2 linked regions of the Ovis aries genome follow. The protein of the gene in region 2 purifies or fractionates together with the protein of the main gene of each other region. This does not show direct contact. Links are inferred from orthologs where the notes say so. Each region holds a gene or a part of one and is shown on either strand. Other genes may lie near its edges.

Region 1 (4,171 bases), on a different chromosome or scaffold from region 2:
AATGTAAACCACATTTGTACTTAAACATCTACACTGCGGCATATTTGGAAAGAAGAGAGAATATGAAGCATATGAAATGACAATATATCGTCAGAATCAAAGAGTGAACCGAATATAGATTTCAGTTGTGTGTGTGCTGGAAAAAGAAATACATAAGGGAACAAGACCAAGGACTCAGCCTTCCCTCCACAGAAGGCCAAAAGCCTAGGTCCAGGAGCTGGGGGTGTTGGGGGCGGGGTTGGGATGGGGGTGGGAGGAGTGCCATCTTTCAAAAGAGTTGGTTCAATGCTTGCTTCCTCCTAACACTTGACTGCAGATTTTTCCAAAAGAAATGACAAATTATGGCAAAAGGCAGCAGAACATTAACAGTGACATTAGTGACTGAAAGAATTTTTCTTTTAAATTTTTTTGTGTGTGGTTGAGCACTCCCCTTTTGAAAATTTTTTATTTGCATTTTCCAAAATTACTTTTTGTTGAAAATAGCTTGCTCAGAAGTAATCACAGGACATGCATGGAGCAGTGGCAAAAGCTACAAATCCAAAGTCTACTTTCATGAAATGTTGATGATTTCCTTCTATTAAATAAAAGACTCACCTGGGGTTTAGTGAAATGAAGTGAGTGTAATATTACTCAAGTCACACTTGAATTAGTTACTGCAGTTCAAAAGACAGAAGTACAGCATGCGAGTTAACAGCCATGTCTTCTGAAAACCTACAGCTTGAGCTACAACTAAAACATTTGAAATTCCTGTAACATAATGCGATAGGAACTTTCACAGCGTAGTAAATCTGTCTGTCAACACCCATTACCATACAACTCATTATTTGACAAGCTAAAGATCCTCCTCCCACCTCTCTAAGATTCAGCCAGGCTCATTACTAGGGGCAATGGCTTGCCAAACAATGCATCCATCCCTGAACCATTCAAATCTTCTTTCTCTTTAGAGTATGTTATAGACAATAACCTTTCATTTTTCCTCTTGTACTCATTTGCTATTGTTTACAGCATTTCAAAAAGCACAAGTGGAATCTCAGTCTACTGTCTCCAAACCACATCAACAACTAGCTCTCAGAGAACCAAAACTACTGTCTTCGATTTCTTCTCTCTTAATCTTGGAACTTAAAAGGGCCATTTACCAAGAAATTTGAAGAAGGAAAATGGCAACCCACTCCAGTATCCCTGCCTGGAGAATCCCATGGACCGAGGAGTCTGGTGGGCTACTGTTCACGGGGTCACAAAGAGTCGTACACAAGTGAGGGACTAAGCACACCAACAAATTATTTCTTGATAAGTATTTAAGTATTTTTTTGGTAATATCATTCTGCGATTAAAAACTCAAAAGCCAGTGAAACACGCGACAAAACAAGTTATCTCCTACAAGCCAATTATACACGATACACAAAACTAAAGTGTAAGATTTTTTTCTTTTTTTAAAAAGAGTAAACTTTTTTGTAAGCAGCCCTGCAACTGTTGACATAACCCGGTAAAGATAATGAGAGTTCCCAAACAAAACTTCTCAAGTGAAAGTTAACCTTTCCTACCGCCTTTTAAAGTACTATCAAAGAGACGTCCAGCAAGGATATGACTGGTCTCATAGAGAAGATTCTAAACAACAAAGCGGACTTCAAGTTTACCTGCTCCCCCCATGGCAACCCACTGACTGAAATCTGGGGCAAAGCATCACCTCCAGCACGCGCACAGACAGAAATAAATTGTTTTTCAACTGATGACTGAGCAGGAGCAAACCCAGGCGGAACACCCGGCGCTGCGGGGTCCTGAGCCCTGCGGCGCGGGTGGAGAGGCTAGTGCAGGACAGCCTACTGAGCCACAGCGGGGAGACAGGAGACCCAATCCTGCTCGATCTGAACCTCTAATGAGTCACTGGTTCAATCATGACACCGCAGCCCTCGCTAAGACGTTTCCTATTTATCTCCCAGCCTCAAGAGGGAGTGAAAATGACAAACTCGTGCTGAAAGAACTGTGCACGGGTCAGAGCTGCCGGCGGCGAGAAAAGCCGACTTAGGCGCGAGCCCCCGCCGGCTTGGCCGAGAAAGCAGGAGAGTGAGCCGCGAAGGCGCGGAAAGAAGCGGGAGAGAACGGGAGAAGCTACCGCCACACCCCAGCCCTCCCTCACCTGCCTGCCCGAGCCTCCCCGGGCGCCCGTACCTTCGGCCAGCGACTCCTCCAGGGTGACCTGGTAGCGGCCGACCGCGAACACCCGGACCCCCACGGACGAGCTACCGGCCCCGGCCCCGCCGGCCCCGCCACCCGCCGCTCCGCCGCCGCCGCCGCCCTCCGACTTGGGCATTCGAGAGAACTTCTTCATGGTCCCGCCGGCGCGCTGGAGGGCGCGGGACGCGCCTAAGGGCGAGCGAGAGGGCGAGCGCCCGGCCCGGCGTGCGCGGCCGGGGCGTCCGCGAGGGGTCACCGCCCCTCGCCTGTCCGAGCGTCCGTGCGCGCTGCGGCCCGCCGAGCCTCACATTCCGCGCGCCCCGAGCGCACTGCCCCGGCCCCGCCGCCCGCTCCGCGGCTCCGCTGCAGCTGCCGGGCTCCCGCAGAGGGCGGCGAGGAGGGCGGGGACGGGGCGGGGCGCGAGGGGGCGGGCCCGAGTGCGGGAGCGACGCGGCCGCCTCCGCCAGTGCCTCGGGCGCCCTCGCCGCCGCGCCAGGCGCCCGGAGCGCGAACCCCGGAGGAGGGCGCCTGGGAGGGAGAGGGCCAAGGGGGCGGGGCGGCCGGTCCCTCCGGGGAGTGGGCTGGACCACTCAGGCCTCACACCCGCTGGACCGCACCGCCGCCGCCCCGGCCGAACCTGCACCGCCCGCCACTCGCGGCCGTTGGCGGCGCGGCGCCCCTGCCAACCGCTCACTGAGGCAAGGCGCCCCGCGCAGGCGCGTTGCCTGCGCCGCCGGAAGTGACGGTTCCGGCTCTTGTCACGTGGAGGGGGGGACGGGGGAGGCGATAGTGGGGGTTGGGGACGAGGGCGAGGTCCGGAATCCCGGGTCGGGGGGCCTGGCTGGGAGGATTCAGGCCGGTTTCCTGAGGTCCCGGCTTCGAGCAGGGAGGTGTTCAGGGGACCGGTTTTGGCTCTGGCTGTGCGGCGAGAGGTTGGTATGTCACTCGGGGGCTTAAAAATGCCGCCAACAACTTCACCCCTGTGAAGGGACTTTTCTCCCTGCATTTCGAAGACGTTTTTCCAGAAATTCTCCCGAGAACCTTCTTCCGCTCGCCCACCCCCGAGCGTGGGAGGTGGGAGCAGCACAGAACTAGAGCGGATTTCAGTAACCTAACTTCTAAAGCCGTGGTGTCGCACTCGGTAACAGCCGCTTGTGCTGGGAGCGTTTTGCGGTTTATAAATGACTTACAAGTACTTTCAGAATCTCGTGTGTGCTCTGCAACCACCCTGCGAAGTATTCAGAACAGGTATTCAGTCCGTTTCAAGACCTTTCATCACCTTTGGGCAAGAGAGTTTAACGGCCTTGCCCAAGGTCACATGGCTGGCTTGTGACAGCTGCGACTGCGAGGGCCATCCTTTGATACTTAGTTTCATACTTCGGGCCATTCGGGAAAAGTAGGTTAGGCTCAGATCGTTGAAAAACGACAGATTTAGGACTGTTTGCAAGCAAAACCAGTCATTCCCCCCCCCCCCGCCCCTTAACAGAGGTTTGCCCATTAAAAAAAGACCCGTTGCATCCATTTCATAAACTGCAGGAATTTCAGTGCCTGCGGCGTGAGACAGGCAAAGTGAACGTTGGTGTAAGACGTTCAGAATGGTAAGGAATGGGAAATCACAGAGTTCATTCTCAAATACACCCTACTTCCCATCCATCCCCACCCGCGGAACCACCACCCTGTAATGAATACAGGCCCACTGTGGCCAAACGTTCCATTTGTAAAGGAGACATCTAGGGTTTTTTTTTGTTTGTTTGTTTTTTACCCCTAATAGGGCATTTCCCAAGTTTTTTAAATGTAGGCCAAATAAATTGTGTCTGCAGGACTCCAATATGCACCTTCTGTGAAAGTAGATACTGTGGTTCTATCCCCACCATGCCCCGCCCCCCATTTCTTAATCCAGCTTTTTAATGAGATACAGGCAGAAACGTTAGGAAATGTACTTAGGCAAAAGTTTTGGGGCTTGAAATCTTCCTTTTTTTTTTTTTCTTCTCGTCTGCTA
Region 2 (3,970 bases):
TTAGTCATTCAACAAATTTGGGGGAGGCGGGGGGTAGGCCTCAGAGATACAGTTTTGATATTCAGTTCTATACTTTCATAGAACTCTAAAAACATTCTAAATCATTATGACTGCCTTCTTTTCCTTCTACCTCTCTGACTGCTTCTCAGTCCCCTTTGCATTTTGGTTTCCCAGCTTCTGCCTTAGGCTCTTCACATTCTTCTTCTTTCTTGATTAAAGACTTTTTATTATTTTTACTTAGAGCAGTTTTATGTGGGAAGTTTTAGTTTTGAGGGGAAGATACAGAGATTTCTAGGTCTTGGTTTCTGAAAGGGACTTCTTTCGCGTAAGCAAACTCGTAGGTTTTCCTGGTGGCTCATTGGTAAAGAACTCGCCTGCCAATGCAATAGACACGGGTTCAGTCCATGGGTGGGGAAGATCCCTTGGAGAAGGAAATGACAAACCACCCCAGTATGCTTGCCTAGGAAGTCACATGGACAGAGGAGCCTGGTGGGCTACAGTCCATGAGGTCACAAGAGTCAGCTGTGACTTAACTAAAACAATTAACAAAGCATACCTATTACATGCTAGGCTTCTTACCAACCTAATCCGGTTTAAGCTTCATAAACTGGTAAGAGTTATTATCATCGTCTTTATTTCACAAGTAAGAAGACTGAAGTTGAAGAGACAAGTAACTTTCCTAGTCACATTCAGGGCAGGGATTCGGATTCAAATGGATTCACACATAGATTTGAGACCGTCTCAACCTTTTTTCCTTGCACCAGTCTCCTCCAGTTCCACTGCCCTTGTATAATCCTGGGCTGGATCACCACTGTCAGTGTATTTTAATTGCCCAAGGAATTAGCTGGGTTTTGTTGTTTTTTAAAGAAAGCAACAGGCATTTCACTGACTCTGTGTAAGTTTTTAGAGAGGTCTTGTGTGAGGAAACAAATCCAGAGAATGTCAGCTTGTTTACTAGATTCTTTCAGATGAATTTCCTCCGAAGCCTAGATCTCAGATCTCTACCACACCGCGCAAAATTTTTCCGTCTCCAAGGCGACAGAGAGTAGTCCCTCCTTTCTCGTTCTCTCGCGCGTCTGGATGACATCACACGGCGAGGCTCTCTGACGTAAGAGTTTCCTGTCCACCATCTTTGTACCGGGCAAAGTGGGTTTTGCGCAGTGGCTTAGACCTGGAGAAGGAGTCGTGACGTGCAGGAAACCATTACAACATCGCTCGGGCCGTGCTCTCTGGCCGCTGCTGCCACCCCCGCCCTTGCCTACGGTGAGTTGTAGGCGGCTACCTCTGGGGTGTGTCCCTTTTTGATGGGGATGGGGGATCCCCAGACTTGGTTGGAGACAGGCGGAGGAGAGGAAATCCGAGGACCGTGACCGTTGAAGATGGAGTGAGCCGTCGGGTGTGACCGTTGTGAGGAAGAGGGTTGGAGAAAAGGACTCCACCGCTGGGGCGGGGCGAGGGAATCCTCGGGGTGGGAATTGGGGGGTATTGGGGGAAAGATATGTTCGAAGTCGGGGGGTTAAGAGGGTCAGAGGCCAGGGGTGTGGCTGGCGGAGACCGGAGGCCAAGGAGAGAACCTTGCTTCTTCCCGGTTTGGCGTCGTTCTCTGAGAGGCTAGGTAGGACATGCTCAGCTCAGGAAAGGGAAAAGGGGTTCCCCAGAGCTTTGCTCCTAGATGGGTAAACCTCGCCGTCGCCCGTCATTTGAGGTTAAGAGACGCCTCTCTGCTTCGTAATGGAGGAACATAGCCGTAGAATTTTTACCACCTCGGGAAAGAAGAGGAATTCCTGACTCCGAAGATAGGGAAGAAAAACCCAGAGAATTGACCCGATATGAGAGAGGGGGAAGCTCTTGAGAGTAAATGTTAGCCCGGAGTTTTTTCTTCGGGGTCTTAGAAGGAACGGTCTGGTTTGAGAAAGGCTGTGGATTAGACAGAGGTAAAGAAACTGGAACTTCCTGTTAATTCCATTTTTTTTTTAATCCAAAGAGTTTATTCATGCTGTTAGTTTTTAACAGCACTCTTCTATTTGGGGGCAGACTCTTTTTTAAACTCCATTATGAAGCGGTGTGAATAAAATGTGGCTGCTTCATTAAACTTTTCACTTTTAAAGGTTTTAAAAATGCCAAAACACTGTTAACAATCCTTGTAGTTTAAAGAGAAAGTAAAAAAAAAAAACGCAGTAAGTTTAGAAAAGATAGAATGACCAAGAAAGTGGTCTCAGTGAGGAACAATTTAAATTATTAATCACCTTCCTGGTATACTTGTGTTGCTTAGCTTCAGGGTACACTTACAAAGTAATAATAGAAAGCAGCAGATGAAGGAGATGCAGCTGTGCAAGAAAACGTGTAACACTTTGCCAGTGGTGACTAAGCCTGGTGGGAACGTGAGAACTGTTTACAGGTATTTGACAGTTTAAACTCCCAAAGAAGCCGAAAGTAGAGGGTGTTCTGCAGATAGCTTCACTGAAAGCTGGATGGTAAAATTAGTATAAAGCTAACATTCTGTGAGGGCTTCCCTGGTGGCTCGCCTGCAGTAGGCGTGGGTTTGGTCCCTGGCTTGGGAAGATCCCCTGCAGAAGGCAATGGCAGGCCACCGCAGTGTCCCTTCCTGGGAAATCCTATGGACAGAGAAACCTAGCAGGCTTCAGTCCATGGAGCTGCAAAACAGTAGGATGTGACTTAACCACTAAACAACATTCTGTGACTTAAGAGACTCAAGAAAACCTGGTTCTTCCATCTTTTTTTTTCCTTCTTTAAACACACCTGTATTTTTAGTCAGTTCAGTTACTCAGTCGTGTCTGACTCTTTGCCACCCCATAGACCGCAGCACTCCAGGCCTCCCTGTCCATCACCAACTCCCGAAGTTTACTCAAACTCATGTCCGTTGAGTCAGTGATGCCATCCAGCTATCTCATCCTCTGTTGTCCCCTTCTCCTCCTGCCTTCAGTCTTTCCCAGCATCAGGGTCTTTTCCAGTGAGTCAGCTCTTTGCATCAGGTGGCCAAAGTATTGGAGTTTCAGCTTCACCATCAGTCCTTCTAGTGAATGTTCAGGACTAATCTCCTTTAGAATGGACTGGTTGGATCTCCTTGTAGTTCAAGCGACTCTCAAGAGTCTTCTCCAACACCACAATTCAAAAGCATCAATTCTTCGGTGCTCAGCTTTCTACCTGTGTTTTAAAATATTACATTTAAGGCACAGTTCTGAATCAAGCTGAACAAGTAACAAATTAGGAAGGACACATTTTCTTTTCTTCCTTCTCTCTCTCCAGGCGTTAAGTTTTCCAGAGTTTATTTCAATTAAGAATTGGATGTGAAACTTAAGACCTTTTTTCTTACTGTATGATATTAGCAGAGTACTTTGTAGTTAAATGGGAATGATAGGTATGTCTGTTGTAATGAGTTATCTGTTGTAATTTTGTATGCAATAAATGATACATGAAGATGTGTTATTGAAATGTGTAATTAGCACTTCTCATCCTTATGCTTGTAATGAAAGATTACTAAGATGACCTGTCCACTTTATAATTTGGTTTAATTCTGTTCACTTTTTCCCTACGGGCACCAGCTGTGTAAAATCCAACTTCACGTGAAGAGAGTGGATTTACTGGCCTCACCAACTCTAAATTAGCTGCTATTTCCCAGAGAGCCATTCGGAGTTAAGACCCCTATTAATTTTTTTCTGGCCTTATTCTCTTTAGGGGCACCAGAAGGAAGGAGGGATAGTTGAGAAGGGAAAACTGTCACAGCCTATATTTAGTAGAAACTAGGTTATGTTAAATCTAGATGTGTAATCCTGTACAGAGAGGCCTTTTCTGAAATGCAGTGACATCACACTCTGGGCTAGGAAAGTTAGAGAAATTGTGCATTTGACTCTGTCAGCCTCATTTATGTTTTAAAACGATGTCCTGAGGCCATACCTCAAGCCGGTAGAGCAGCCGATGGATGACTTGTCTAGTTTGACCTGGTAAAAAG

Evidence for each region. Proteins that work in one complex are often made in the same cells at the same time.
Region 1: the proteins of AP2B1 (region 2) and BMP2K purify together in Homo sapiens (affinity purification with mass spectrometry; 3 studies listed by BioGRID and IntAct, with this or other methods). This does not show direct contact. The link is inferred for Ovis aries from reciprocal best matches to the Homo sapiens genes AP2B1 and BMP2K.

Annotation. Positions count from the first base shown.
Region 1 is NC_056059.1:94,247,307-94,251,477, reverse strand, and holds the start of BMP2K (BMP-2-inducible protein kinase), read right to left. Parts: upstream 2,803-4,171; 5' UTR 2,327-2,802; coding exon 2,167-2,326; exon of another isoform or gene 2,135-2,166; intron 1-2,134. UniProt on the Homo sapiens protein: May be involved in osteoblast differentiation.
Region 2 is NC_056064.1:14,480,624-14,484,593, reverse strand, and holds the start of AP2B1 (AP-2 complex subunit beta), read left to right. Parts: upstream 1-1,167; 5' UTR 1,168-1,407; exon of another isoform or gene 1,408-2,398; intron 2,399-3,970. UniProt on the Homo sapiens protein: Component of the adaptor protein complex 2 (AP-2). Adaptor protein complexes function in protein transport via transport vesicles in different membrane traffic pathways.